7 linked regions of the Oryctolagus cuniculus genome follow. The protein of the gene in region 3 interacts with the protein of the main gene of each other region in a pairwise test. Links are inferred from orthologs where the notes say so. Each region holds a gene or a part of one and is shown on either strand. Other genes may lie near its edges.

Evidence for each region.
Region 1: the proteins of VCP (region 3) and UBXN4 interact in binary tests that used the Homo sapiens proteins (3 or more experiments, as listed by UniProt). The link is inferred for Oryctolagus cuniculus from reciprocal best matches to the Homo sapiens genes VCP and UBXN4.
Region 2: the proteins of VCP (region 3) and LZIC interact in binary tests that used the Homo sapiens proteins (3 or more experiments, as listed by UniProt). The link is inferred for Oryctolagus cuniculus from reciprocal best matches to the Homo sapiens genes VCP and LZIC.
Region 4: the proteins of VCP (region 3) and UBXN8 interact in binary tests that used the Homo sapiens proteins (3 or more experiments, as listed by UniProt). The link is inferred for Oryctolagus cuniculus from reciprocal best matches to the Homo sapiens genes VCP and UBXN8.
Region 5: the proteins of VCP (region 3) and EPSTI1 interact in binary tests that used the Homo sapiens proteins (3 or more experiments, as listed by UniProt). The link is inferred for Oryctolagus cuniculus from reciprocal best matches to the Homo sapiens genes VCP and EPSTI1.
Region 6: the proteins of VCP (region 3) and SLC43A3 interact in binary tests that used the Homo sapiens proteins (3 or more experiments, as listed by UniProt). The link is inferred for Oryctolagus cuniculus from reciprocal best matches to the Homo sapiens genes VCP and SLC43A3.
Region 7: the proteins of VCP (region 3) and VAMP2 interact in binary tests that used the Homo sapiens proteins (3 or more experiments, as listed by UniProt). The link is inferred for Oryctolagus cuniculus from reciprocal best matches to the Homo sapiens genes VCP and VAMP2.

Annotation. Positions count from the first base shown.
Region 1 is NC_091434.1:107,844,553-107,849,177, forward strand, and holds the start of UBXN4 (UBX domain-containing protein 4), read right to left. Parts: upstream 3,140-4,625; 5' UTR 2,946-3,139; coding exon 2,864-2,945; intron 2,300-2,863; exon of another isoform or gene 1-2,299. UniProt on the Homo sapiens protein: Involved in endoplasmic reticulum-associated protein degradation (ERAD). Acts as a platform to recruit both UBQLN1 and VCP to the ER during ERAD.
Region 2 is NC_091438.1:158,243,357-158,247,096, reverse strand, and holds part of LZIC (protein LZIC), read right to left. Parts: intron 1,896-3,740; coding exon 1,760-1,895; intron 1,467-1,759; coding exon 1,368-1,466; intron 1-1,367.
Region 3 is NC_091432.1:198,032,061-198,035,964, forward strand, and holds part of VCP (transitional endoplasmic reticulum ATPase), read right to left. Parts: intron 2,357-3,904; coding exon 2,245-2,356; intron 2,161-2,244; exon of another isoform or gene 2,059-2,160; coding exon 1,886-2,058; intron 580-1,885; coding exon 437-579; intron 1-436. UniProt on the Homo sapiens protein: Necessary for the fragmentation of Golgi stacks during mitosis and for their reassembly after mitosis. Involved in the formation of the transitional endoplasmic reticulum (tER).
Region 4 is NC_091433.1:80,756,150-80,760,683, reverse strand, and holds the start of UBXN8 (UBX domain-containing protein 8), read right to left. Parts: upstream 2,951-4,534; 5' UTR 2,781-2,950; intron 1-2,780. Other genes in the region: GSR (glutathione reductase, mitochondrial), read left to right, coding at 3,116-3,406. UniProt on the Homo sapiens protein: Involved in endoplasmic reticulum-associated degradation (ERAD) for misfolded lumenal proteins, possibly by tethering VCP to the endoplasmic reticulum membrane. May play a role in reproduction.
Region 5 is NC_091440.1:62,127,862-62,131,765, reverse strand, and holds part of EPSTI1 (epithelial-stromal interaction protein 1), read left to right. Parts: intron 1-1,660; coding exon 1,661-1,719; intron 1,720-3,400; coding exon 3,401-3,484; intron 3,485-3,904. UniProt on the Homo sapiens protein: Plays a role in M1 macrophage polarization and is required for the proper regulation of gene expression during M1 versus M2 macrophage differentiation.
Region 6 is NC_091432.1:14,692,523-14,697,069, reverse strand, and holds the start of SLC43A3 (equilibrative nucleobase transporter 1), read right to left. Parts: upstream 3,071-4,547; 5' UTR 2,903-3,070; intron 2,281-2,902; exon of another isoform or gene 2,246-2,280; 5' UTR 2,089-2,245; coding exon 1,914-2,088; intron 1,662-1,913; coding exon 1,532-1,661; intron 176-1,531; coding exon 129-175; intron 1-128. UniProt on the Homo sapiens protein: Sodium-independent purine-selective nucleobase transporter which mediates the equilibrative transport of extracellular purine nucleobases such as adenine, guanine and hypoxanthine.
Region 7 is NC_091448.1:52,651,922-52,656,419, forward strand, and holds the start of VAMP2 (vesicle-associated membrane protein 2), read right to left. Parts: upstream 2,965-4,498; 5' UTR 2,807-2,964; coding exon 2,805-2,806; intron 2,275-2,804; coding exon 2,154-2,274; intron 1,684-2,153; coding exon 1,525-1,683; intron 1,445-1,524; coding exon 1,393-1,444; intron 842-1,392; coding exon 825-841; 3' UTR 1-824. UniProt on the Homo sapiens protein: Involved in the targeting and/or fusion of transport vesicles to their target membrane. Major SNARE protein of synaptic vesicles which mediates fusion of synaptic vesicles to release neurotransmitters.

The sequences.
Region 1 (4,625 bases), on a different chromosome or scaffold from region 3:
CCAGTGAAGGAATTTACAGAGAACAAGCACAGAGGCCAGTGTTGTGGTGCCAACGGTTAAGTGGCTGCTTCCCAGGATGGCATCCTATATTAAATTCCATACTGGAGTGTTGGTTTAGGACCCAGATGCTCCCCTTCAGAGGATGGTTCAAGTACTTGGGATCCTGCCACTAGTGGGAGAGCCAGCTACTGGCTTGGACCTGGCAAAATCTGGCTGTTGGGGACATTTGGGAAATGAACCAGCAGATGGAAGATCTCTGATTCTCCCTTACTCTGTCACTCTGCCTTTGAAATAAATAAATCTTAAAAATAAATAAAACAACTTTTGCCTAAAATGCTTCACATTTGAATAGTTCAACAGTAAGTCTAGCCTTCAGGCCACTTTTTCCAGCTATAATATATCTTTTTAATTTACCAGTGAGTTGGTAAATTATTATTGAGGTCTCATATCTAAGAAATTCATCTTGGGAACCAGCATTGTGGCACAGTGGGTAAAGCCACTGCCTGCAATGCCAGCATCTGCACTGTGGATGCCAACTCCTTACTAACAGCCTGGGAAAAGCAGAAGATGGCCCAAGTGCTTAGCTACCCACATGGGAGTCCCAGAAGAAGGTCCTGCCTTTGGCCTGGCCTGGACTAGGGCTGTCATAGCCATCTGGGGAGAGATGGAAGATCTCTCTCCCACTGACTTTTCAAATGAATAAATCTAAAAAAAAAAAAAAAAAAAAGGTGATGTTCTGGCTATATTCTTCAAAGTTATGGGCAAAGCAGGGAAAGATGGCCCAAATAGCTGGGTACCTGCATTCACATGAGACCCAGATGAAACTTCTGGCTTCAGACCAGCCCAGCCCTGGCCACTGTGGCCATCTGAAGAGTGAACCAGTGGATGGAAGATATCTCTGTCTTTCCCTAGCTCTAACTCTTCCTTTCAAGTAAATAAATAAATCTTTTAAAAAAGGAAGGAAGGAAAGTAATGAACAAAGCTTCAGGCAATCTGTAAGCGTTAGTTTCATGAGCCCAGCGTACACATTCCTAGAACGACACTAATCCTACTTAGTGCTGGGGATTAACTAGCTTAAACTCTAAAAGCTGTTTTCGGGAACAGGTCTAGGGACAGATTTCTTTGTTAGATAGCTAGTAGTCTTCAGCAAATATTTCATAGTCATGGGGCCAGCACTGTGGCATAGTAGGTTAGGTAAAGCCACCATCAGCAGTGCCCACATCCTATATGGGTGCCGGTTCAAGTCCTGGCTACTCCACTTCTGATCCAGCTCTCTGCTATGGCCTGAGAAAGCAGTAGAAGATAGCCCAAGTGCTTGGGCCCCTGCCCCCTCACGGGAGGCCAGAAAGAAGCTCCTGGCTCCTGGCTTCAGCCTGGCCCAGCCCAGGCAGTTGTGGCCATTTGGGGAGTGAACCAGGAGATAGCAGATCTCTAACTCTGCCTTTCAAGTAAATAAATAAAATCTTTAAAAAAAATTACCAAAATCCTAGATTTCCTGATCAACTTAATTAATACATAAACAGACTATTTAAGTGTTTAGTTTTTTTCCTGAAAAACAGAAAGACACTTTTTCTGAAGCTGTTAAAAAATGTAATGTAAATAAAATTTAAGATGTAAATTCTTTTCGGTGCAAATCATTTTATGACTGTGGTCCTAAGTTCCTCATCTGTAAATTGGGAATAATAAAATCTGCTCTACCTATCACGAAGATCAATTGGGATTTTACATGAACAATACAATTTAAAGGATCAGCAACTCATTACTACATTTTTAAAAATCATGTCATTTAACTTCATTTTTAATCCACTTCTTTTCCCCTCAGAGGACAAACTACTCAAGCTTTTCTAAGAAACAACATGCAGCCAAAAATTTAATAAAATATTAATGTAAAATATTTCAGCAACTTGGTTTTCATTGCAGTGTATCAAGTTATAGAACTATTCAAAGTCGTGAAATGAATTCTAAGCCACTATCAAACACAAATAATTGAAGAAATACATTTTACATTAACAGCCGTCAAGGAAAGCCATAGAGGAAGCTTTCTTAGATCTGTATAAATTTCAAAAATAAAACAGCAAAACGTGGGGCAAAATAATCGAGAGCAGCTTAGGGTAAATGAGTTCGTAAATGTTCTCAAAACTATGTGGACTCTGGCTAGGAAAACCGAAAGAAGAACCAAAGACTTTATGTCTACTACTTTTAGACCGACAGGGGGACGAAAAAAATTCCACTTGGAGCAGAGTATCCACATTAGGCAGCCTCTCTCAATACTGCCGTTAAAAAAAAAAAAAAAAAAAAAAAAAGCCCCTGTAAAGTTTACATGTCAGAAGCACACCAACGCCCGCAACCGTGACCATCAGGTGGTTTCTCTTTGTTGCTCAACCGATGACACAGCTTTCTCCCTGACAGCCCACAGCCAATTAGCAGTCCAACTGCTCGCCTAATGGCCCGTCCCTCCCCCACCCACGGAGGAGGAATCAACGGGCGTTCAGGCATCCGAGGAAGGTGCTCGGGCCCGGGGAGGGGCGCCAGGGTCCGCCCGCCGCACGCAGGAGGGCGCCCGAGCCCGGCCGGGGCCTCTGGCCTGGCTGCCAGGCCTGCCGCCTCCCAGACAGGGCCGCCCGTGCCCTTCCGGACAAGAAGGCAAGGCTGCGGGCGCCTGCGGCCTGCAGGAGCCTGGCCTTGGGCGTCTGCACGCCCGCTGCGGGGCACCCAGCGGGGAGAAGTTGCAGCCGACCCTGGGGCGCGGAGCCGAGAAGTGCCCGCGTCTCGAGGACGGAAGACCGGCGGCTGAACTAACGAGTGGGTGAAGGCAGGCCGGAGAGCCTGTCCCGGCCGCACCTCGGGCCCCCGCCCCCTTCACCTGCCACGAACACCACGAAGACCGCGCCGCTCCTCTTAGCCGACGCGATGGCGGCCGGAATGGCGCCCTGGAACCACAACATCGCTCCTGTCGGGCCCTGGCGCTCGGTCGGGGTGTAGTCGCCGCGGTCCCGGAGGAGCTGGCCCCGCCCAACCGCTTCGTCGGGCCCTGCGGCCCCGCAGCCCCCGCAGCCCCGGCTGGTCCGGCCCCCGCCTCCGGCTCGGGCTCCGCACTAGCGCGCACGCCCGTCAGCCGCCCACTGCGACGTGCGCAAGCGCGCGCGTGGGGACCGCCCCGTACCACGTGACGCCACACGTCGCCGCCGGCTCAGGGCCCCAATACCTTGTTTCGTGGGCGAGTCAGTGCGTGCGCGCTCCCGCTAGAACCTCAGGTCTCGCAGACCAGGAAGTGGAAGGAGGCAGAGGAAGGATGAGTAACCGCTACGGCTTGTTTGGAGGCGCCTGCCGAGAGGCATGACGGGAATTGTAGTCTTCTTGGGCTTGTGGGCCTCCATATTGTGGAAAAATGTGACTACTGAGACACGACTGAAGGGGGCAGTACTGAGAGCCACTACGCGTTGAAGGACGGAGGGAGGAAAGGCAGTGCCGCTCTGTTATCCTCACTGAAACCCTGAAAGTGGAGGAATGTGTCCGCGCATGGAATTAAATAGGCCTTGTAGGAATTTATTGCCAGGCTTCGGTTTTTATTGAATTGAGCCCAGTCCTGTAGAAAAGACAGGATAAAAACCACCACGGTCTCTCTGCAATACCATACAGCCTGAAGGGAGACACTGGTACAATAAAGACCCTGAATTTCCTAGACATCGGGTAAAGATCATTCCAAAACCTTGAAACTGTGGCGCCCAGCAGGATGTCGGTATCCAGGCGGTCGCCCACCATGACGGTGCGCTCCGGGTTGCTGCCGTCCTCCTGGGGCACGCAGTGGAAGGTGAAGCGGCTGGGCTTCCCTATGACGTCGGCCTGGCGCTGCGCGGTACCTGCCGGACAAAGACGGAGTGGACGGGCGCGCAGTGTGTTAACGCCCTGGCCTGAAGCGCCGGCATCCCATATGGAACCGGTTCGAGACCTGGCTGCTCCACTTCCGATCCCGCTCTCTGTTGTGGCCTGGGAAAGCAGTAGAAGATGGCCCAAGTCCTTGGGCCCCTGCACCTGGGTGGGAGACCTGGAAGAAGTTCCTGGCTCCTGGCTTTGGATCGGCACAGCTCTGGCCATTGCGGCCATCTGGGGAGTGAACAAACAGGTGGAAAACCTCTCTCTCTCCTTCTCCTGCTCTCTCTGTGTAACTCTGATTTTCAAATAAATAAATAAATCTTAAGAAAAAAAAAAGGCTAACTATGGCTACACCAAAGGAAACACAAAATCAGAGAATAATGACTTATTTTCCAGCCACTTTCCATGGTAGTACAAAAGAAAATTATCTCACTTCCCGTTTTATGGGATAATATCAGCCTGTAATCAACGTAAGGTACTTGTGGTTCGTTGCCATTCAAATAAAAATGATTGACATTTAATACTTTAATGGAATTGCATGGTTCCTAGTAACTATTAGTTAAGGGTTTGTATAATTTATTTAGTTGTTAAACTTCTTATTTGTTGAAGCATTAAGTCTTTTTACTGTTATATAAATAACATAATAATAATATATTTAAAAAGATATTATCTCAAAAACTTAAAAACAAGAAAGAGAGGGACAGCTGGAGGGAGAGTGAGGAGGGAGGGAGGAAGGGAATATCATTCTAAGA
Region 2 (3,740 bases), on a different chromosome or scaffold from region 3:
GAGCTGTATCTATCTCTGTCTCGCAAATAAATTTAAAAACTAGTAAATTATTCCTGCCACCAAAAAACACTAATAGCATATTCTATACATTGGTACTATTCTAAGTGTTTTTGTACATTACTTCATTTGATTCTTATAATCATTTCTGGACAGGAAAACTGCGGTACAAGAGGTTCAATAAAATAACTTGCCTGGGGTCACATATTTTAGCAAATGGAACAGGGACTGAAATCCAGTCAGCCTGACCCAAATCTATACCCTGCATTTATACAAAATTTTATTTATTTATTTTCATTTTATCTGAAAGGCAGACAGAGATAGAACTTCTATCCTCTGGTTAACTCCCCAGATGTCCACGACAGACAGAGCTGGGGCAGGCCAGGCCAAAGCCAGGAGCCCAGAACTCAATCCAGGTCCCCCACGTGGGTGGCAGAGACCCAAGTAATTCAGTCACCACCTGCTGATCCCCGGGATGTGCATTAGCAGGAAGCTGGAACTGGAAGCAGGACTTGAATCCGGCACTCCAACATGGGAGGCAGGCATCACAAACCGTGACTCAAACACTGGCCAAACACCTATCCCTTATGTCCTTAAAGACTATGCTACTGAAATACATGTAGGTACAACTAATTTAAAAAAAAAAAGATTTATTTATTTATTTATTTAAAATTCAGAGATACATAAAAGGACACACACAGAGAGAGATATATCTTCCATTTGCTGGTTGACTCCCCAGATGGCCACAATGGCCAGGGCTGTGCCAGGCAGAAGCCAGGAGCCAGGAGCTTTGTCCAGGTCTCCCACATGGGTGACAGGAGCTCAAGCACTTGGGCCATCTTCTGCAGCCTTCTCAGGCACTTAGCAGGGAGCTGGATCGGAAGCAGAGCAGCCAGGACCAAACCAGCACCCATACTGGATGCCAGTATTGCACTTGTTACACTACAACAGCATCCCCTATTTGTTAATCCTTAACTACAGTCAAGTCTATGAAGACATCTGGGGAAGTATCAGGTTTATAAAAATGCTTGAAATTCTCAGATGAGACAGGCCACACATGCGCAGCAACAATGGTGCTGATGAACTCTCAAAGGGACTTCAAGTTAGAGCTGCAGCAGCAGATGGCAAAGCATCAAAGAAACGGTCTAAGGAGAAGTGGTGAGTGGCCACTGAAACTGCCAGCGACTGTTTACCTCTGCATTCATTATCAACTGTAATTGCTCAAAGTGCTCATTTTGTCAGAAAATTGTGGGTTGTGGCTTTAAAAATCAAGAGGCCAATTTTTAAACTGTAAACTATCATAATCAGCAAATTATTAGGCTAGGAAAAAAAGCACACACAGAAGCCAGGACAATTTGAAGAAACGTTACCTCTGCTAACCGCGTCCGAAGCTGGCCTGGCTGTTTCTTTGCAAACAATCTGATGACCTCTGGGGTCTTGAAGGCCTGGCTGATGGCGGCCTGAATAGCCTGAACACAGAAGAAGGCAGAGACTAAGGAAAGCATCCAACAAGCGGACGCGCAGGAACTCTCAGATGGTCTTTAATGCTCAGTCTGCCCATTTTCATTCGCAAACATTTCTGTGCATGTTACAGGAGCCAACACACAACTCCATGAAGATCTGGAAGGATATGCTGTTTTATACATAAGCAGACACTCATCTAGACGTGACAGCCCAAAAGGACACATTTTCTGTATGAAATACACTTACAAAAGAAAACAAGAATTGAACTTTGCCACTGATCTAAGAAAATCATACTTACCAGCTGCATCCCACTTAGTTCATCTACCAAAGTCATATTTCCAGACATAATTTTCTTCAGCGAGTCATTGAATTCACTTAGTTGTTCCAGAGTTTCCTTCTTGGTTTCTTCATATTCATCAGTGTCAAGTTCCTCCCTAAAGTATAGTAAACATTGTAACAGAAAGATACACAGTTCCAAGTGAAAAAAGCAGATCTTAGCACTGATACACTAGACAAAGGCTGGACAGAAAGGTCACAATGCTAATGACAGATGTGTTCACAAAGTAGCGTGGGCATATTCCTGCCATGTGCAATTACATATATTTCTTTTCCTACAATGAAAGCACACTTAACAAAACACTTACTGACTTCCCTTGTGCAGCCTGTGACTTTAGACAAGATACTGAACATAGCAATGCCTTAGTTTCTTTATCTATAAGGGTTTGGAGAGTGATGCCATCAACGAACAGTTGCTATGCACATTAAAGGAGATGGAAACTGCTTGGCAAACAGGTATGTGATAGATGGCTGTCGTTACAATCATCATCACATCAATGGTAGGAAAGATTCTGTGTTCCTTGCAATATAACAGCAATGCAGTACTTGCCAGATTAGAAGCCATTTTTATTCCCTGAACAAATTTATAAAACTTACTACAATCTACCATTTATTGAATGCCTACCCTAGGTCAAGCATTGTGTGGCCCCTTCATTTATAGACTTATAAGATTGCAACAATCTTGCAAGCTTTTTAAAAACTACAAAAAAATAGATGGGCAATTGGTGCAGCAATGCAGATGCTGTCTGGGAGGCCTGCACCCCATATATGAGCACTTGGGTTTGAGTCCCAGCTCTGATTTTGATCTCAGCTTCCGGCCAATACACACCTGGAAGGTAATGGGATGGCTCAAGTACCTGGCCTACCGCCCACCAGGAAGACCTGGATTGAGTTCTGAGCTCCTAGCTTCAGCCTGCTTAGCCCAGGCTTATACAGGTATTTGGAGAGTGAACCAGCAGGCAGATTATCTCTATCTTTCTACCTTTCAAATGAACAAAAATAGGTAAACCAAAACACTGCAATGAGCAGTCTTAGTCTGTTGAGCAGGAAAGGCTAACACCACACACTAGAAGTTCAAGCAGCAGCTTCTCAGCCTCACACCAGGCGAGGATATTTTACTTTATTTATTGAGATTTATTTATTTGAAAGCCAGAGTTACAGAGAGAGGGAGAGACTCACACATAGAGATCGATCTTCCATCTGTTGGTTCACTCCCCAAATGGCCACAACAGCTAGGGCTGGGTCAGGCCAAAGGCAGGAGATTCATCTAGGTCTCCCATGTGGTTGAAGGGGCACAAGTACTTGGGCCAACTTCTGCTGCTTTCCCAGGTGCATTAGCAGGGAGCTGGATTGGAAGTAGAACAGTTGGGACTCGAATTGGTTCCCATATGGGATGCCGGAGTCCTAGGCAGTGGCTTAACCTTAATGTGCCACAATACCGGCTCCAGGGATGTTTTAAATACTGCAATAAAGACACAGTAGGGGCCGGCGCCGTGGCTCACTAGGCTAATCCTCCACCTTGCGGCACCAGCACCCCAGGTTCTAGTCCCGGTCCGGGTGCCGGCTTCTGTCCCGGTTGCCCCTCTTCCAGGCCAGCTCTCTGCTGTGGCCAGGGAGTGCAGTGGAGGATGGCCCAAGTCCTTGGGCCCTGCAGCCGCATGGGATACCAGGAGAAGCACCTGGCTCCTGGCTTCGGATCAGCATGGTGCGCCGGCCGCAGCACGCAGGTTGCGGCAGCCATTGGAGGGTGAACCAACGGCAAAAGGAAGACCTTTCTCTCTGTCTCTCTCTCACTGTTTACTCTGCCTGTCTAAAAGACACAGTAGGTGTTGTTATTTCCACTTGATGGTTGTTAAATATTTTGCCCAAGTTCACATGCACTTATTCAGTAATCAAAAGACTTTCACATCCCAGTCATTATGACTCTGAGGCCTGCACTGAGG
Region 3 (3,904 bases):
TAAACTACCAAGTTCACTAGACATAGCCCTAGCTCCCTGCCCACCCTCCACTGTCTTAGTAAGCACACAGCAAGAGTTAAAAAGCTAATCCCTAAAAAGTCCCACTGTTACTTAAGAGCGCAATGAATAAAACCTGATGTGTCCTAAGCCCATAAAGTTTTAACTTCTGAGGTACAGACAGCTCAAGCTCTTACTACAACCACCAATTGTACAGCTATACATTTTGGACTGTGGACACAGCCAAAATGGACCACTTTCTCCCTCCAAGAAACATGAAAGGATAGCTTACTCTCCTGGAGTAGAGATAGAGGGAAAGAAAACATAGAAACATGTACAAGGATGCATGCATGACCAAAAATACAGAAACACTGCGGGGTTCATTTTCCAAGTATCCCTCTAATCATCCTTAAGCTCAATCCCCAGAATTATCACTTACCTTTCCGAATGGGTCGATAAGCTTCCAAGAAGTACGGTTTAAGATACACCTCAAAGAGATTGCCAGTGATGCCTTCCACTGTGTCGTCAATGGGCAGCACATGGATCCGTTTACCATACTTCACATCAGGGCATGGCTGGATGCTGAGGATGACAAGCAGACTCCACATTACCAACTGCACTGCAGCACCAGCACTGTGTGTCCACAAGGGCCTGGCACAGACAGCTGATGGCAATTCAAAGAGAAAAACAGAGATGGATTTAGGTGAAGAAAGAAAGGAAAGCAGGGTAGGAGTAAAGGCAAAGAAACAGCGAAGCAGAACTAAGACAAGTCACATTCAGGGTAGGACAGGAGGAGAAGCCACTAGGGCAGCCAAATCCTAGTCAAAGAGCCCAAATAAAGAACATTTAGAATGCTCACAAAGACGACATGTGGGGTCTACAAAGAAAGATATCCAAAGATAGTCCTTCTAACTAACACTGGTAACCCATTATTACAAAGGGAGATCTTGATCTGGTGTCAAAGTTCAGAGAAATAGAAGTGAAAAAATTAAAAACGTTCTCAGCCAGGAAATCAGAACACCTTGATAAAGTGCCTAAATACCCTCCCTCCACCCCCATCCCCAAGACTCCATGAAAAAGAATCAGATGCTTCAGATGATACTGGCCTGATGGTGGGTGGCTGGGGAGCAGTGGCAAGAGATGACTCCAAGATGGGAGAGCCTCTTGCCTACATTTATATAACAAGAAAAAAATCACTCACATTGGAGATACCTCTACCCTGCATTAGATCTGGATCCTTGAAAACCTGCTAGAAGGGGCTGGTATTATGGAGCAGCAAGTGCCAGTCTGAGTCCTATCTACTCTGCTTCAGATCCAGTTCCCTGCCAATGCACAGTGGATGATGGTGCAAGTACCTAGTCCCCACCACCCCTGTGAGAGACCCAGAGGGAGTTCCAGGCTCTTGGCTTCTGCCTGGCCCAGCCTAAACAGAAGATGCAAGAGATCTCTATTGTTGCCACGCTTTCAAATAAATCTTAAAAAAAAAAAAAAAAAAAAAAAAAAAAAAAAAAAAAGACCTGCTAGGCACCCACCTTCCATACCCAGATCTACACTCCCTTCCCAGTCCCTAATACAAGCCATTAATTCAACACAGTAGTGAGGAAGTTATTTGGCAGAGAGACACCCTCAAATGGCATCCAAAACCAGGGTCTAAGGTATGGTGGGTTACACTTCTGGTAGGAAAAAACAAACATATCAAAAAGTCATGCAGCAGCAGATTTTGAAGTCTCAGAAAGGCAGAACAGAAACCTAAAGACAACAACAAAATATGAGTCTTCCCAGCCAGGAGGCTTCCTCTAACTGCAGCTGCCGAAGATTTCATCCTGGCTATAATGCAAGCTATGTCTGGCCTCCCATCCCGGAGGGGCCAAGAATCCCCCACACACACCTGATGACATCCCCTAGGCGTACGCGAAGATTATTCCGAACCACTCTATTCATTCGAATCTTCTCATCAGAACATGTGTCATCAGAAAGCACAATGCACACAGCTTCCCGCCTCTTCTTTCCTTTCAGCAACACTGTGTCACCTCGGAACAACTGCAGTTCATCCATCTTGGGCTGAGGAAAGAAGGTTAAGGCCTTTGGGTCACTGGGCAGAAGGGGGTAAGCAGCAGCCCTGGAGGTTGGGATTCCCAGTAAACCCCACTCTATCTGCGGTCACTGCAAGAAAAATGAGAGAAGAAACCTGGGAAAATCCCTCAAGTAAGTACCATAAGGAAAGACAGGACTGTGGACCCAACTTACCTGGGATAAGGACACCACACTGTTGTCCTCATTAATGGCTTCATCAACAATTAACCGATTGGGACGGTTCTTCTGTTTGAGAATGGCTGTTGATAAGTCATCACCTTTTGAACTAGAAAGAGGAAGTGAAATCAGTGCTAACAGATACTCCAACCTGAAAGGCCCACCAGTCTAAAAATCATAATTAGGGAAAAAAGAATAGATAGATGAAGTCAACCCTGCAGCAGAGCTCAAAGGAAGGAAATTCAGCCAAGGTCACAAGGAGCAATATCTAGTATATATTACATTCCTCGTTCTAGCAGCTCCTAGTATTTTCAGTACTAATGTCCCAGCTGGAAGGCCCCAAGTAATCTTGCCCCAGGGTCAGGGAACTATGGCCTAAGAATAATTGAAGACATAACAGAAATAAAGGTTGCATAGCAATTTTACAAGAGTAGAGAGCCTTTTATCTGCCAAGAGCCTTTCAGATATTTATAACATCATTCGTAGGCCATACAAAATTATCAACTTAAAAATGAGCCTGCTATAGATTTATTGAATTTCAAATCCTGCCAGCAGTTGACTTAGCAGGGCCAAACCGAATGATTTCATAGGCCTTTTATGGCCCACAGGCTGGACATCCTCCATCTCTGCATTAGAGAAATGAAAATAGTCTTTGACTGTATAGAACAGTGGTTAAGAGCAGGGTTTTGGTACTCAGTCTGTTAGGTCTGAATTCCAACCATGCCATTGCTTAATTGTGATCTTGGCAGAACAAATTAGCTAAATTCTCTGGACTTTGATATTCTTACCTGTAAAATGGGGACTATAGTAGTACCTATCTCACAGGCTTATTGTTTTTAGCTAGACAACAAATATTGAAATGTGGGGCCAGCATTGTGGTACAGTAGGTTAAGCCACCATCTATGAAGCCAGCATCCCATATGACTGCCAATTCAAGTCCCAGCTGTTCTGCTTAGGATCCATCTCCCTGCTAATGCACCTGGGAAGGCAGTGGAAGATGGCCCAAGTGTTTGGGCCTTTACCACCCACACGGGAGACCCGGATGAAGTCCAGGCTTCTGGCTTTGGCCTGGCCTAGCCCTGACCATCGAGGCCATTTGGGGAGTAAATCACAGAATGGAAGATCTCTGTCTCCCTCCCTCTCTCTGTCACTCTGCCTTTCAAATACAATATCTGTCACAAACTATTTATTAATAGTCACCATGATTAGCAAAAGCACAAACTCTCTTTGCCTCCCAGGAAATAAAATGAGTCAACAACTTCCCTTAGGGTTCAAGGAGGTAAGCCTGGGGTCACAATGAGGCAGAAGCACTAGTGCTTCCTTCCTTAAAGGATAAACCTGTTGAATGCCAAGCACAAACCTCAGCATCATCAGAAAAACCACTAACAGATCTGGAACCTTCAGAAAAATGCTGAAGTTCAAAAGGAGATTCACAGTAATTTCTCTAAAGGCACACAACTCCAAAAAACCAAAACCAGAAAACATTGAAACATGGGGTAAACCCAAATCCCTCCTCACCCAAACCAAGGTTGCCTAAATCTCAATTCAGTTGTCACTTTCAAGAAGCTGAGATCATTCACCAGACAATGGTATCAATTTCCTCCCTAGCTCGTCTCCAGCCTTCACTCCTACTATACTCAGTGGACTCCTCTTTTGA
Region 4 (4,534 bases), on a different chromosome or scaffold from region 3:
GGAAATGCCAGATGGCATATTTTTCAGAGAATCTGGATATTAGCATCCAAGGCTGCCTGCCTTGTCTGAGGATAGTCGTGGCCACTTGTGATGTGTTTGTTGCAAGAGGCAAAGCAGTTCACTTGGGCAGCTTACCTCACCGTATGCAGCCTCTCGGAACAACAGGGAGATCGGGGCCCCTTCCAGCCACCCGGGGAAATCCCACACCGAAACATTTGACAACCTAAATATTACTGTAAAAACCATCAGCTTTAAACCCAGCCACCATGCTTCTGAGCCCCTCTGGAGAACCCACATGTGACTGCTTATGGGTTGTTGAACGCTATATTCCCGCAGGTTGAACCTGACCAATGTCTCCTTGGAGACTCCAGTTCTGAGATATTCTTTGTGGATGGAAACAGTAGGAAAAGAAAAGGCTGAATATGTAGTAGCAACCTTCCAGGAAACTTTGAAAGGAAAAGCATTGCCACCAGGGACCTTGGCCCAAAAGGCTAAAGTCATAACCCTCATCATTGCTTTGTACCTTAGAAGAGGTAGGAGAGTGAGCATTCATACTAAGTATGCTTTTTCTGTATTATGTGCCTAGAGGGTTATTTAGAAGCAAAGAGGATTGTTCTTGTTAAATAATAAAGTTTATGTACTGAGGAAGGCAGTCCTCCAAACCACATGACTGCAACTTCAAACATCCTCACGGTCACCCAAGGGAGGATGTGTGCCCTCTTCACACAGGATGTTTTAATCACTCTGGGAACATCTGTCTAGCTCTCCAAGATATGCCCACCCACATCAGTGCTGTCTGACTCCACACTGAGCCTTAACCAATAGCTCTACACTTGGTTTGAGAATCAAAGTCCCTGGAGACAAACTACTGATCTTTCTGGTTTGCATTCTGGGTGTAGGAATATTAATACGTTGTTGCTTGAAATGATGAAAGACCTGCAAATCATGCAGACACTACCTCAGCCAAACCTCATCACGATGCAGACTCTCCTGAGTTGAACCTAATTTGAAAAGGGTTTTCCCAACTTCCTCTCTTCCAGAGAGGATGAGAGAGAGAGAGAGAGAGAGAGAGAGGGAGAGAGATTGATTTTCCATCTGCTTGTTCACTCCTCAAATAGCTGTAACCACCAGGGCTAGGCCAGGCTGAAAGCCAGGAACAGGCACTTATCCAGGTCTCCCATGTGGGTAGCAAACAAGAGCCCAAGCACTGGGCCATCTGCTGCTGCCTTCCCAGGTGCATCAGCAGGGAGCTGGATTGGAAGCAGAGCATCTGGGACTTGGTGCCTACACGGGATGCCAGCATGGCAGGAACCAGCTCAACCCACTGCGCCACAGTGCCAGGCCCCTCTCCTCCAGTCTTGAAACCTCCTACCATGCTCCATTTCAGCAAGAAGCAGCTAGAATGATCCATATACACCTCAAGATTGAGGAGAGAAAAGGAAAAGAGGGGACTGAAGTGGAGCTTCTTATCCGTAATGCCCCTGATGCTCACTTTATCAGGCCCTAGGTTTCATTCTTCTAAAGATAAACCCATTAAACTACAAAGTGGCAAAAGGGTAAGAGACCCTCCAGTTAACATCTCAATGGTAGTCTCAATTCTGAGAGCTTTTGCAAGAACACCTAGGCCCTGATCAATGAAACCAGTACCCAGTCTACCCCTAGCCCCACACAGGTTGGAGCCCACCTTTGTTATTTCAAAGGCAGCTTGCTGGTCTCTATCACTGACCAAAAGATGGCCACACACACTGGGGACCAACAGAAGGCCCACAGATGAACTGACCACACACCACTCACCCCTAACCTTGAACTCTGAGATTCACCACCTGTACTCCCCTGGGGAGTCTGGGATTTGCACATCATCTGCCTATGTCCTTGCCCTGCACTTGGCAACGAACACTGGGTGTCAGTGGGTCTTGCCAGAAGATCCAGTTTTGAAGTTCTATAGCAACTCCTCCCACCAGTTTCCAGGATGTTCAATAGCAGGGAGCCACGGGCTTCCATTCCCTGCGTTGGGCCTAGCTGTTCTCTGACCTCGACCTTCATTTCTTTGCCTCTAGGCATCTAAGCCTCACCCCTCCAGGTGCTTAGTCATGGTGAGCCTGGTGCTTGGTCATGATGAGGCTGTGCCAGCCTGGGCTAGACACTCATGTCCTTGTGGGCAATGGGCAAGGGATTGAGGCCTGTCAAGACACAAATTCAAGGCACCTAGGCTTTTTTTTGTGTGTAATTGGTAGTTCTAGATATTGCAAAGCTCACATCTTGGGGGATAACAATTCTTTAAAAATTCATTTATTTATTTGAAAGGCAGAGCGACAAGCAGAGAGAAAGATCTTCCAGCTGCTGATTCACTCCCCAAATCCTGGCCAAGGGCAGGGGCTGGGCCAGGCCAGCCTGGAACCAGGAATTCTATCCGGGTGTCCCCCGTGGGCGGCACACGTACCAGCACTTGGGCTATTTTCCCCTGCCTTCCCAGGTGCGTTAGCAGGCTGCAGCTGGGCTTCCAGCCTGGCAATCCGATATGAGAGGCCCCTGTCCCGCGACTGTAACCGGCCCAGGACAACACGTTTGTGTCTCCACCTTTACTCTCTATACTTCTTTGGTGGACCACAAAAATCGTGCTTTTGATTCAACCCATTATGTCAATGCTTCTCACGCTACATGCTTTTATTAGAATCAGCAGAAGGCGGGAAAGTGTCCTTTAAAACGACACTTCCTGGGGGCGCGCCTCCCCCCCCCCCCCCCCCGGTTGGGGCCCAGGAATCAGCACCGCAGGCGCTCACCACACAGCCGTGCAGAAGCACCAACCCCGAAAATAACAGGGTGGGACGAACTTCTCTTCCCAGAGGCCACCACGCGCCTTCGGGGACCTCCGGGTGCCGGCGGCGTCCAGGTGCCCGGGGCGGAGAAAGCACGGGGCCCTGCAGCCGGGGCAGGTGCAGCCGGCCGAGCTGGCGGCAGGCGGACCGGGCAGCGCCCCGCCTCCCGGGGAGCCCCAGCCCCCAGCGCGCGCTCCCCCGCCCCCGCCGCGGGTGCTTAGTCACGGTGAGGCTGCGCCGGCCCGGGGTCCGCGGCCCCCGCCGCCGGGGACCCGCCCCCGGCCGCCACTTCCGCGTGCATGGCCCTGCTGCCCCGGGCCGTGAGCGCGCGCGCGGGACCCGGCCGGCTGTGTGTGGCGCGCGCCGCCTCCCTCCTCCCGCCGCCTTTAAGCGGCCCCGCCGGGGCCCTGCGCGCCCTCAGCCGCGCCATGGCGTGCGCACGGGAGCAGCGCCCGCCGCCGGCCGGCGTGACCGCATACGACTACCTGGTGATCGGGGGCGGCTCGGGCGGGCTGGCGAGCGCCCGGAGGGCGGCCGAGCTCGGCGCCAGGGCCGCCGTGGTGGAGAGCCACAAGCTGGGCGGCACTTGCGTAAGTACCAGGTCCTTCCAGGCTCGCGTCCCGCAGCCCTGCAGGCGCCCGGCCTCTCCGGGGACGGCTGGGGACTTCCCCACCGCGATCCTGCCCAGCTGGGTGGGCGGCCCCCGCGCCGTGCCCTCCGCCTTCCCAGCCGGCCCCTGAGGTCCGAAGGACCCCGAGCAGATGGGACAAGTGTGGGGGGGGGGTGGGGGCCTCTGTGCGGCCCGGCGCAGGTGCGACGTGCACGAAAGCCCTAGCTCGCTAAATGCCCAGCAGCATCCTCGTGGCTCCAGGTAGGAGGAAAGCATTGCATTCCATGCTTGACCTTGTGTAGGTGTATTTGGGAAAGCTGTGTAGGGGCGAGAGTGGCGGTGAGGGATGTGGAGCCTGGTCTCTCCTTCCAGAAGTGCACGAAGACTGATGGCCGTGGCTCGCAACCTGGGCTGCGCGTTCAGAACCACCCCAGGGGATAAGCTCTGCTGCGTGGGTTCAGCCCCCAGGGCGTCTGACTTACCTTGGTCTATGGTGTAGCCTGGGCTCGGGTTCAGAAGCTCCTGCAATCCTGTGAATTGCAGCCCTGCAGGGCTCACCATTGAGTGATTTCTCAGGCCTGTTGTTTCGCTTGCCTTTGGTGTTTTTTTTTTTTTAAATTTTTTTTAATTTAATTTAATTCTTTGAAAGGAAGAGTTAGAGAAAGAGAGGTGAAAGGAGGGAGAGAGAGAGGGAGCTTCAGTTGGTTCACTCCCCAAATGGCTGCAAGGAAGCCAGGAGCCTGGAACTCCATCCAGGGCTGCCACGTGGGGGGGCAGGGACTTGGCACTTGGGCCGTTTTCTTGGAAGCCCAGCAGCCGCCACGGTGTTGGTGGGACACAGCTGGCACTCACATGGGATGCTGGCACAACAGGTGGCTGCTTAACCTATGTGCCAGAACACTGGCCCAAAATAAGGTGTGTAAGTCTTGAGGCTGAAAAACTATAATCTTTTTTTTTTATTTAAGATTTATTTACTTATTTGAAAGTCAGAGTTACACAGAGAGAGAAGGAGAGGCAGAGAGAGAGAGGTCTCCCATCCGCTGGTTCACTCCCCAATTGGCTGCAACCGTCAGAGCTGCGCCAATCTGAAGCCAGGAGCCAGGAGTTT
Region 5 (3,904 bases), on a different chromosome or scaffold from region 3:
GAGCTACGGATCTGCAGAATGGTGAAGTCCCTAGAATGGGGAGAAGCTGTATATCACAGTCTTAGTAGGCTCTGAAGATTGTTCAGTAACTTCGTGGGTGGCATTTAAATTCCATGTCTTCAGTTTCAGGTTTAAGGCTCTGTAGAATGGCTCACCATTGCATCATATTCAAGTTTCCAGGTACTACCCACGGAATTACAGCTCCCAAGCTCCTATAAAGCACTGGCAATTGAGGAGTGAAAAATCTTTCATAGTGCGAACAAAGATATACGCAACGAACAAGGGATTAATTTCTAGTGGCAGTCTCCTAATTTTGTATTCATAGCGTTGTATGCATGCTAGGCTACATGTGCAACATCTGCTGAAATACGTCAGGTAATTGGGCATCCAGCAGTCCTATTTGCATGCAAAGGTGGTTGCACACCTCACATTTACAGGTCTAAAATTAAAGCCCACTTTGAAGCTGGCTGGAGGCTCTCAGAGAGGAAAATAAGGAGATAAAGAAGAAATGGCTTCTGCTAATCAGTACTTTTGGCCTCTACTGTTCAATCCGTGCTAATTTGCTCTTTGAGATTGTATAGTCCAGGTTGAAGAAAGGGACTTCTAAGAGTATCTGGCATTTGTGTTAAAAAATCTAGTTATAAGCTGGTTGTGTTTCTCCATAGCATTCCCCGTAAAACTGTACCCACATGGTGTGCTGCCGTCTGTTGCTGCGCTATAATTTTGAATTATGGAGCATTCGTATTCTTGTGGGACCTCACACACTGTACCGAGAAGGGCCACCCCAGCACAGACTCAACGACTGGACTCGTGGCATCATTTGGACTACGCGTCAGTTGATCATGGTGCCTGCTCTCCAAAGCTCATACTATTTTAACAGCTTCCCAATGTCTCAGTCTTTAATACTTTTGGTTAAATGAAGTCTTCCTCTATGAAGACCTTCCTTGCTTCTTTGTCTCCTGATTATGCTCCTATGTGTGCCCAGCAGAGAGAAGAACCTGGTAGGCCTATGCCCAGAAAAGTCGAATACTAATAGCACAAGACTGTGTCCATTTGAATACTTAGGTACATCTTCAAGAGGAGACGGCCTGTGCTCTCAGTGTGTGGGAACAGGGAATGCACCAGTGTTTTTTTGTCTGCCCCATGTGGCTCACAGGGAAGAGCATGCCAGTTTTAAAGGGAACTTAGCCACAAGTACCACCTACAAGAACAAAGAAGTCCTACAAGGCCATTCTACCAAGACCCAGTGGTGAAGCAGTCACTTGTCACATCACTACTTTCTAAGAGCATACTTCTAAAAGTTCATGGAAAATGGACTTAAAAATAGGTTTTGTGTCTCAGAATTTGAAAACTGAGTATGAGAGGTTTTCAAAGTGTCCTTGAAAAATGCATGTAATGAAAAGGAGAGCATGGATTTCAAAATTTTTTTGGCACCAAGATAAACTTATCTTAATTACATTTTCTCAGAACATATTGAAGTACCCCTGTATTTCTGTGTTTGGCCACATCCATTTGTCTTGCTTTGACAATTAGATTGTAAGGTCCTGGAGAGCAGATCTGGGCCTTAAGAATACCATCTTCTACAGTACCCTGTCTGCTGCCTTATGTGTGCTGGTTTTTCTTATGATAATAAGCGATTTTTTTTCCCTCTTCATTCTAGCACAGGAGCATATACCTTGATAGCACCAAATGAACACCGGAGAAACCAGATACAAAGGAGTATGTATGCTTATTCATTTACCATTCAAGTACCTCTCACTTTCTTTCCAGTCGGTTGGTTTTGGTCTGAAGTCTTTTTATCTTCTCATTTGTACAGGTGCACCTGATCTCATCAAAGTTTTTTTCTTTTTAACTTTGGCAGTTTTAATTGTGCCTGTCAGAATGATTCTGCTGTTAACACTTGTGAATCTGTTTCGCTACAAGAGTAACAGAACTCAGTACTTTTTTGGATTTCTCTTGGGCTTACGCAGCTTCACAAGTTACCTATATACTGAGCTCATCCCTGTAAAGTTAGACAGACTGCTGATGCTTTATGAGTACTTTTGAAACAGACAAGTGAGATGCCAAATTGATCATGACATGATTTGTACCTTTCTTGGTTTGTCCCATTCCTCTGCGATACCATTTTTCTTTATTCTCTGCATGCCCATATTTTGTAACCATCAGAATCTACCTCAGCTGTTTTCTGTATTTATTGATGGTTTCCAGCTGTTTTTATTTGTGTGGTTCAGTTTCCTTCTGTTAGTTATAAACTCCTTGAGGACAGGGACCACATCGTACTTGGTTTTGTACTTAGTGTCTATATAGTATGTTTAATTGAAATATGGGAAATATAAATGCTACCATTTGGACTTAGCATAGCATCTTTCAGAACTGGAAGGAGAAGTTCATTTACTTCACAAGGACATCTGAGGCTTGTTCAAGTCAAGCTGTGGTGCTAGGACTGAACTCCAATGCTCTTTATTAGATTGTTGATGGGAGATTTAATTTTGCGATTAATGATGGACATAAGGGCACAGCAGGAAAGCAGCTCTCCAAAGCCCTCCTCTCCCAGGCAGGTAGCCCCCTGTGTGGTACAGTTGGGTAGTACAGCTTATGAGAATCATAGCTTCACAGACATTTGCTATATATCTATGGGTACTGCTGGCGGTAGACCAGCAGAAACCCAAAAGCTTTGGCATCTTCAAACTTTTGACTTAAATATTTAACAGGATTCCTTCCTTCCTTCCTTCCTTCCTTCCTTCCTTCCTTCCTTCCTTCCTTCCTTCCTTCCTTCCTTCCTTCCTTTCAATAATCGTATTATAAGCGAGCGTTTGGATTAATCAGGTTTAAGAGAAAATTAGGGCATGCCCTGGGCAGAAAACAGGGCAGGTGTCTCTCTGGCGCCCCCTGCTGTCACACTCCCTGGGGAATAGGTTCTGCCTAATGGTCCCCAGTGTCAGGAACCTGAGCAAGGGTGCCCACCCACACACAGACCCTTGTGCCCCACAGTTGCAGTAAGCGTGGGGGGACACTTAAAGCAATATGGGCACCAGAATTCTCTGGGGGAAATGTTTACCTGTGTGTGAAAAGTTCTTACTGGCATGTTCTAATATTCTAATTGTCAGCATATTTTCTATAGGAACCCTTTAAAACTAAGCAAGAATGGGAAGAAAAGCTATACTCCCTCATTTTAGTAGAAATGCTGGTTGTGAAAATTCTTGTAGAGGAAGTGCCCCAGGCGTGGGCCCAGGGTGGCCCGGAAGGGGTAGGGCTGGAGGGTGTTTTCTTACCCTGGAGAACATATCCACTCATGCTTGCTCGAGTTCATCGCCCTCTGATGGTGGTTTTATGCATGAAGGTGCCAGTCTCCTTTTCAGCGTCTAACGATGGGTGCTTTGATTTTTCTCACTTTGCTTAGTTGCTGAGCAAGAGCTGGCAAACCTGGAGAAGTGGAAAGAACAGAATAGAGCTAAGCCGGTGCACCTGGTGCCTAGGAGGCTAGGTAAGCAAGCAAACTCGGTGCCTGAATGGGTGTGGGGGAGGGGAGGGCAAGGCCCCCAGGGATCCTGCTAGCCCCTGTGTGTCTCTGTTTGAATGTATATTATAGGTTGTTTGGTGGGGTGAAATTCACTTAAAGCTGAGACCTTCAAGTGTGCACGCCACCGTGATGCAGGAATGAAGTGATGACTTCATTGCCAAATAATTTAGATCTTCTTGGATGATCAACCCTGAAGAATGCTTACCTGGCGCACTGCTGTGCCCTGTCATAGCACTAGTCAGGAGGAGAGGAAGAGCTAGCCCAAGTATGGTAACCATGCCACTTTAATGCAAATGGGAGAAAAAGGAATGGAGGTGTCAATTGCAAAAGCAAGATGAGAGTGAACTGGGAATCACCAGGGGGGTCACCAGGGGTCACTGGGGT
Region 6 (4,547 bases), about 180 Mb from region 3:
TCAAGATTCTTTAAGCTGTGGACCTCAGAGTAACCATGAGGTCCATATGTCCTGCCTGCTACCTCCTGCACCTGCTTCACTAGACATCTCTAGAACCATGTCCCTCTCACACACTTGGCAACACTCACCTGTAGAGGTGAAGGCTATGGTGAGGGTGGCACTTGTGTAGAAAAATCTGAAATACAGAATAGGGCATGGAGAATATTGTCAAGAAAAGAGAAACCTGGGGCTGGTGTTGTGATGTAACAGGTAAAGCCGCCACCTGCAGTGCTAGCATCCCCATATGGGCACTGGGGCTCCACTTCCAATCCAGCTCCCTGTTAATGCACCTGGGTGTTCATGCACCTGGGAAAGCAGCAGAGGACGGCTCAAGTGCTTGGGCCCCTGCACTCACAGGGGAGACCCAGGAGAGAAGCTCCTGGCATTGGTCTGGCCCATCCCTACCCATTGAGGCCATTTGGAGAGTGAACCAGCAGATGGAAGCTCTCTCTCTCTGTTTCTCTATCTGCCTCTGTAATTCTGCCTTTCAAATAAAATAAAAGAAATCTAAGAGAAAGAAAAGGAAGGGAGGGAGGGAGGGAGGGATGGAGGGAGGGAGGGAGGGAATGGCTGGACTGATCTAGACTCCAAGCTTAAAGTTCTAGAGCGCTACAGTTTCAAGACCACCATCCCGAGGTTACAGGAATCCCTTGGCAGCTGACGGGGGAGTAGGAGGATCTTCTAAGGCAGAGGGTAAGAGAGGCAGGACCCTGAGAACCCTGCTGGAGAAAGGCAGGAAGAAGAGCATCCAGGGAGCCAAAGACCAGAAGGACCGAGACAGTCAGTCAGTTTGCACCTAAAGGGACTTGCTCTACTCCCCAGCTATTTCCTGGTCCAGGTCCAGCTGCGCCCCCCCGCCCCGCCCCCAGCTTCCCTCTGCCAGTTGATCTCACACCCGCCTCCCTGGGATCTATCAGCCCCCAGCAGGCCACTGCTTATCACCAAACCCCACCACAGAGACCAGGATGCAGGAGCACACGAGTTCTTGGCCTCCCCCACTCCTTTGCATGGGAAGCCCTATTCTCACCCCCTGTAGCACAAGGGGGGCCTGAAACTCCACCACTGGAGGTACCCACAACATTCTGTGATGACTGAGTGATGAGGGTGACTAGGAGGAGGAGAAGCCTCGGGTGTGAGGCTTCATAGGGAGATGAGGAAAGGATCCAGGGAGAAGGCAGAGAGCAGTTGCTAATTTCGCAACTCAGGCCTTTGGGCAGCCCTCATGGAAAGTCAGCCCGGGCTCCTGTGCAATTAGATACAGAAGACAGCTGCAGTGCTGTGGAGTAGGGGAAGGAGGCGAGGAGAGGGAAGCAGGGCTGTGGGAACGGGGCGGCCCCACGCCCTGCCAGCTCTGCTCCTCACAGCTGTGTCTGCCAGCTGCTGGCTCGGGGCCAAGCAGGGCTGCCCAGCTGCCTAACCTTGGTCTCCCTCCCAGCCTGACCAATGCCTCTTGCCCACACCACTAGACGCGCGGGGCCCCGGGGGGACTCACATGGCTAGGAGGCGGGCCACAGTGGTCTTGAATCGGTCAAAGATGTAGCCGGTGGGGAACGTCATGAAGTTGTTCATGAACGACGCCAGGGTGAAGATGAGCGAGAACCTCTCATCCTGGGCTTTGCAATCTAGAAGGGGGAAGGGGAGGCTCAGAAGCCCAGGGCAGACTGGCCACACTGCCCCATCCTCCCAGCCCTCCAGCCCGGTGACACCTGCCCTAGGATCCCCTCCATCCGACTTGGACAGCTTGCCTGGAGATGTGACTGTCCCTAAATCCTCTCCCGGGCACCCCCCTAGACCAGGGTGCAGGAAGGGGTGGCAGGAGGCACAGGGGTGGAGCCAGAACTCAGCTTCCGGGGAGAAGGCATCACCCTCCTTACCAGTGGTGTTGCCCAGTGTTCCAGACGGCGGCTCACACAGCTCCTCAAAGTAGTGCTCTGTTTTGAAGACGAACACCAGGGAAGTCCAGCCGAAGAGCACGCCGGCAAAGCCCAGGCACTCCAGTAGCCCTGTCAGCAGGGTGGCCACGTGAAGGGGCAGGGCCTGGCCCACCATGGCCCCAGGCACTGAGCCTCAAAGCCCACGTTGTCCTCCCTGGCTGACCACAGCAGCTTCAAGTCCTGGCGTCTGAGCCCTTGGAAAATTCCTTTGGCGAGCCTTTCCTTTCCTGGAGTTCTCTGGTTCTGTCTGCGGCTTGGGCACAAAACAGAGCCTGTGAAATAAACAGAGGCTGCCTGAAACAGGAGGCTGCCGGAGGGAAAGTTCAGGTGGAAAACTGTTCTCTGTGGCAGGAAGGAGCAAGATGCCCACCCGTGTTAGGAGGGCAGCACCCTCAGGACAAAGATGACCTTAATGACTTATGCAGAGTTCTGCCAGCAACAGGTGAGGGAGCAGGCCCGGCGCTGAGCTCCGATTCTGAGCTCTGTCCACTGAAATACCATCGGCCCCTCTGAGTGAGGCCAGGGGACTAGGGGGCTGTGTCTGCGCCCACCCAAATTCTCATAACAGCCGGGCAAAATTGGAGTTTCCTTATCTGCAGTTGGTTGACAATGAGACCAAAGTTCCAGGGAATATCAGGAAACTTGTCCAAGGTCACACGCTAGTTACTCACCACCACGCAGGCTGTGCTAGCGCCAGAAACAGCCCAGCACCCAAGGACCCGGGCCTAGGACTCCATCCACCAACTCCCCCCCCCCCCCCAAGAAAGTGCCCAAGGCCATTCCCGCCCCGCGCAGCGCTCCGCTACCCGCGGCCGCCCCCCGCCGCGCGCTGCCTGCCCTCCGGGCCCGGGTCTGCCCAGTCTCAGCGCCCCCACGCCCACTCCTCGCAGGGCGCCGCTGCCCGCCGACCGGCCCTGCCGCGCTCCTACCAGCCCGCTCCACGCCGCAGCTCTCCGCGCTCTTCCCGCGCGCGTCGTAGTTCAGATTCGCGCTTCTCACCGCCCCGCCCGGTGCCCTGCTCGCCTCCGCCCGCGCCCGCCTGCCCGGAAGGGGCTGGGACAGGCCTCTGGTTCTCCACCACTTCCTTCCCCTTCGCCCGCGCTCTCACTAGCCCTTTTGGACGTATTCTTCTCCCTCTGCAACCCTCTTCCGTCCCTGCAGTGTCTCTGCTTCCCGGCTCCCCGGCCGCTCCCGCCCTGAGCCGAGTTAGTTTAAGGCTTGTTCCAGACACAGGTGCGCCGGCCCCGCAGAGGTAAGGCACACACCGCGTTCTGCGAGCTTTACCTGAACATGGATCTCCCCATGTTGCCCACCTACTCAACCCTCTCTCTGTCTCTCCCAGAGCCGCCGGAAAATCCCGCGGAGGAACCAAGAACCCAGAACCGAAAGGCTTTTTGGAAACCATTCCCTGCAGGGGGCCTTGCCTTCTCACCCCCAAGGCCCCCTTTGATGACTCTGCCTCACCCCCAGCCCAGATTCTGCAAGAGCCTTCCTGCCAGACTGCATTGATTAACTATTCATTCATGGCCCCATTTTTTATTAATCAAAGACATATATAATTGCCCATCCGAGCTTGTGATCAGCGTGAGATAGCTGGCCTAAGCAGCTGCCTGGCTGGTACCGGAGCCCACAGCAAGTGAGCCGGGGTCTTCCTTAGCCTGTATGGCCATTTCCTTATCAAAAACTCCCGGGGGGGGGGGGCGATTTGAGCCTGTTAGATGAGGTCCAGGAACTCAAGCTATTCCAAGCCCATCTCCCCACCACCACCACCACCACCACCACCACCACCCATTTTAAGGAAGAGATGAAGGTCAGGACTGTGGGAGGCCAGAACCAGGAAATGTTTCCAGATCACTGTGAAAACACCAAGATAAAGAAAGTCCAAGGCCACAACAGAGACTGGACTGCAAAGGGCAGCTGTGGCCCTGCACCCCCAGAGACTTGCAAATTACACAGCCTGAGGCAGGCTCCTGGCTGTTCCACCTGCCAAATGAGGGCAGGAGTGTCTTAGGAACAGGAATTGCCACTACAGAAACGTGATAGGTTTACGAGGTCCCTGCTAGGAGCGGTTGCAGCAGGCAGGTGCTGAAGGTTTGCAGCTTGTCGTTATGCAAATCAAGTTAGAGAAGTAGCTTTGGGAGGGGATCTCAAAGGAACTGGCCCAGGGTCACTCTACCAGGTGGCAGTGTCTATCCAATTCCCAAACCTGCGCCCTCAACATTCCCAGGCTTAACCACAGACACTTGAGCACGGGGGGTGGCGGGTCTTCTTAAAAAATTAGCTGATGGGGGAGGGGTGGGGAAATCTATCTGCTGTAGCTTAGGATGCACAGGACTTCAGATGCAGGCTTTTCTATTTTACTGCAAGATACAAAGACACTGAAATTAATGCAAGCCCTGGCTCCTGCTCTGGAGTGCATGCTGCTCTCCTGGGGACCCGCAGGATCAGTGAGTGTGGAAGAAGCAGGGGAAGAACAGAAAAACTCAAAGCAAAGAGAGATCGTAGAATGTAAATTGGCAGGGGCAGTCCGAGAGGCCCAGCGCACAGGCTCTGCCTGCATCCAGGACTGGAGCA
Region 7 (4,498 bases), on a different chromosome or scaffold from region 3:
ATCATAACACATTGAACTCCAAGACACTTCCACGCCAGCTGAGGGGAGGGAGGGAAGGGCACAAGAGGTTTGGGAAATGGGGGTAGGGGCGGCAAACGACTAGAGGGCCTGGGAGTGGGCAGTTCCCCAAAAAGCCCAGGCTCTCCACCGCCTGTAAGTAATGTCGTGCAAATAAGAGTGACACAAGGACTACTGGGGACTAACTTTCCAGTAAGAAAGAAATTGGTTCAAAGAAGAGTGATGGAACAAAAAACAAGGAAACCAAAGGGATGTTGGTGTGCAAATGATCTGCTAATTAACACGCTGGAAGCTCCCAGAAGATCTTGGGATTCTCAGGACCAAGTGGGGCCAGTCTCAGGGCCTCCCAATGGATGCAAAGAAGGTGCATGTAGGGAGGCCTGGCCAGGTGCTTTTGTCTGTTGTGGGAGGAGTGCAGAGGGGGAGGAGGGGGAAGGCAAGGAAGGATCAGCTGGATGGGGGAAGGAGAGGGGCTGTTGCATAGCAGATGCAAATGAGGGGACTTGGGACTGGTCAGGAGGGAAAGGGGGGGACAGGGACAGAGAGAGGCGAGGACGGGGACACCTCAGGAAGGGGTGTTAAGGACAACCGGAAAAATCTTCTAGTAATAAAACTACAAACAGACCAAATATATATAATATTATATATGTATAAATAACAGCTGGCTATTTACAGGGGGCACACACACAGACACACACACACACACACGGATCCGGGGAGGGGCTGAGAGATATGGCTGAGAGGTGGAGGAACGGCTGGGGGTGGGGGAGAGGCCCTTCTCTAGGCAGGGCAGACTCCTCGGGGATTTAAGTGCTGAAGTAAACTGTGGAGAGAGGGAAGAGGAAGAGGAAGAGGGAGGGGGGAGGGAGGGAGAGAGAGAGAGCTGGGTGTCAGGCCCGGCCCTGCTGCGGTCCTCCCCACCCCCTAGCTGGCTGGCTGCTGCCCCTTCCCCCAGCTCGAGGCCTCAGTCTCTCCATCTGTGAAGCAAGGGGCTGGCCAGATGGGTGCCTCCACGGGATGGCTTTGGAGCCACACCCCCACCCAATTCACCAGCTCTCAGACAGCGGCAGGACTGGCTTCCTGGCCATGTCTCCATTTCCGCCTCCCACTCCCCAGTTCCAGTTCCCAAACTGGGCTCTCAAGCCCAAAGGATGCTCAGTGAAGTAGTGGGAGATCCACCGGCTTTCCCGTTGCCAACAGTCAGGCACCCGGCAGGCTGCACAGGCTTTCTGGCTCTAGGACCCACAGCTCCCTAAGCAGCTATGTGGCGTTTGCCAGAGTGAAGACTAGGTTAGTGACCTTCACATCCCAGACTGCACCCACCGGGGGGAGCCTCTCCAGAGAAGGGGCCCCGGCCACTCCCGCCCCACTCACCGATGATGATGATGAGGATGATGGCGCAAATCACTCCCAAGATGATCATCATCTGGGGGCGGGAGGGGAGGGTCAGTGAGACAAGCCCCCATCCTTCCATTCACCCCCCAGTTCTCCCGCCCCCGCCCTCACCTTGAGGTTTTTCCACCAGTATTTGCGCTTGAGCTTGGCTGCACTAGTTTCAAACTGGGAGGCCCCCGCCTGGAGTGCATCGGCGCGGTCGTCCAGCTCAGACAGCTTCTGGTCCCGCTCCAGGACTTTGTCCACATTCACCCTCATGATGTCCACCACCTGGGGGAGGGGCCCAGGAGGCAGGGGGTGTGCCAAGGCCCGCCGAAACGAGGGCACTCCTTGACCGTGTGCCCAGGGTGCCATACACAGAACATGCACCCAGATACCGCCAAGTTAACATGCCAAGGACACACAGAGAACATGCCTAGCATACCTGGGGACATGCAAGGAGCACACATCAGGGGCATGCTGGCAGCCACACATTCAGATGTCAGAGCGACCCTCAGAGAGCCTGTCAGTCACCAGGGCAAACCTGCCCAGGCTGGCACACCGCAGGCTAGCAAGGCTGCTTGACACCCCAGCGCCCTTCCAAATGTGTGCTGACGCGAAGGCAGGGAGGAGGCTCGGCATGTCTTTGTCCCCACACCCACAGCTGTGAACTGTCATCACCCCCAACCCGCGATGGGCCCCACACCTGCGTGCCCACCTGCAGGCTCTGGCCTGCGGCCTCCCACCCGGCTCACACTCACCTCATCCACCTGGGCCTGGGTCTGCTGCAGTCTCCTGTTACTGGTGAGATTGGGAGGGGGCGCAGGGGGGCCGCCCTCCCCGGCCGGGGCGGCAGGGGGGGCGGTGGCAGCGGTAGCAGACCTGAGGAGCAGGCGCAGATTAAGGCCCAGGGTCCAGAGACTCCGGCCCCGCGGCCAGGGCTCCGCCCATCCACCTGTCCATCCGTCGTCCCTCCAGTCCTCCTTTTCGGGAGGAAGGCCGCCCGATGGGAGCCCTGGTCTCCGTCCAGCCCCATCGCCGCTGAGCTGAGTGACCTTGAGCGAGGCCCCCTCCCCCCTCCGGGCCTCAGTTTCCCCGCCTGCCAAATGAGAGCGACCTCACGGACGCGGTCTGGGGTCGACACCGGATGACAGGCGTCCGCGGTGACAGGGCCGGGGCGGGGCAAGGCAGACGCTGGGTCCGCACCCTCCCGCGCGGCCATCGCCCGCGCCGGCCAGCCCGGGGGCCGCGGGGGCTCTCCCCGGCCCGCCGCGCAGTCACGGGCGCCAGGCTGGCCCCGAGAGCACCGGGGGCGCGGGCGGGACCCCGGGCCCTCCCCGCGCGGTCCACTCCCAGGGCGGCGGCCGAGGCGGGGAAGCGCGGTACGGACGGCGGGCGGCCGGCCGACTCACATGGCGGGGGCAGCGGGTGGAGGACTTGGCAGCGGCAGTGATGGCGGCGGCGGCGGCAGCGGCGGCGGCTCGCGCTGGCTCCGACTGGCGCTGGCTGCCCGGGACGGGAAGATGGCGGCCGCACGTCACCCGCACCCGGGCACTGCGGGCGGGGGCGGGGCTCGCAGGCGACACGTCGCGAGCGCGGCCGCGGGGGCGGGGCGGGGCCCGGCGGGGCGGGGGTCGAGCCGGGCGGGGCCGCCGCGGCGCGCCTCGCGCGCCCTCCCCGCACCTCGCGCGCCCTCCGCGCCACCCCTGGCTGACTGCTGCGGCTTTCCCCAAACCCCCGCGCCGCCGCGTCCTGGAGGCTCGCAGCCCCCTGCTACCCGGCCTTCCGCCGCGGAGCCCCGCACCTCACCCTAGGCCACCTCCTCCCTCTCCCGTGACTCCGATAAACCAGTCCGCAGCCCCGTGGCCCGAGGTCTCGCCCTGGCCAGGTTGCAATGCCTGGTGACCCCCCAGCTTCGGCACTCGCAATGGGCTGGGCGTGGGGAAATCAGAAGGGCCCAGCGGAGAGCGGGAACGCTCCTGCCAGAGTGGAGGAGCGGGGTGATGCGCGCTGAGACCACCTGTCACCTGGCAGGTGGATGGCTGAAGGGAGGTTTGGGGCCCCTGCGGAGCAGGAGGAGGAGGAGGAGGACCCTTCCCCTCCCCAGGCCCCGCCTCCAACCAAATCCCCGAGGGGCTGCAGGCTATGAAACTGCCAAGTTCAGAGCAGGGGCAGGCAAAGCTGGAGCAGACCCAGGGGGAGGGCGCATGCTGCCCCCCGCACTCACCCCCCCGGGGGGGGACATCGTCACGTCTAGGCCGGCCACAGACCCAGCTGTGCCCCAGACTGGAGTCAGCTGCTGCGGGACAGGCGAGGGCTTTGGCTTTGAACCTGGCCGCAGGCCGGGGGCTTTTTACCTTGGGAGGAAGGAGGACAGCAGGCAAGGGTGGCACTGCTATGTGGTGCTGCTTTACACGTGGGCTAGCCTCCTGGATGTGTCCCCCGGGCAGCTCCTTTTCTCTCTCTGGATCTCCGACACATTACACATCTAGGACTAAATATGTACGGCAGCAGTGGGATAGCTTGTAGGAGATGGTCCCCCTCCTAGGCCATCGATCACTGGTCTCCACCTAAATCCTGCACGTAGTCCCAGCCAGCTTGCAGGAGAAAATGGGCACGGGTGAGCTGTGCCTCTGGAGTGGGCAGGATCAAGGCAAGCTTCCAGGATAGAGGAAGCATTTGGGGGGGGGGGGCGATGGCTGTGGGGTGGGGGCGCTCAAACATTCCTGGAAGTGGGGGACGGAGACTGGTGGCCTTGATCTGTGAGACAAACAGGAGCCAGCTTCTTCCCTCCCCCACGCCGGCTTCCCAGGGCCTGCGGTGTGAGATCCTCCTCCACTGCCGCACCCCACCCCCTCCCGGCAGAAGCCTGGGGACCGGCTCTGTCACCAGAGGTGTCATTTCCCAGCTGTCTGGGGGAGGTGAGTTGGTGGGGGAGGGGCGGAACTCAGCCCAACCTAAGCTGCTCTTGGCTCTCTGGTGGCCCTCGGAGGAGCAGCCACATCCCTGGTCCTTGTGCACGGCTGTGGCGCACCTGGGCTAGCTCAGCCTGTGTGATGACCAACCGGGAAAAGAGCAGCTTTCCTGGGTGGGGGGTGGGGGGTGG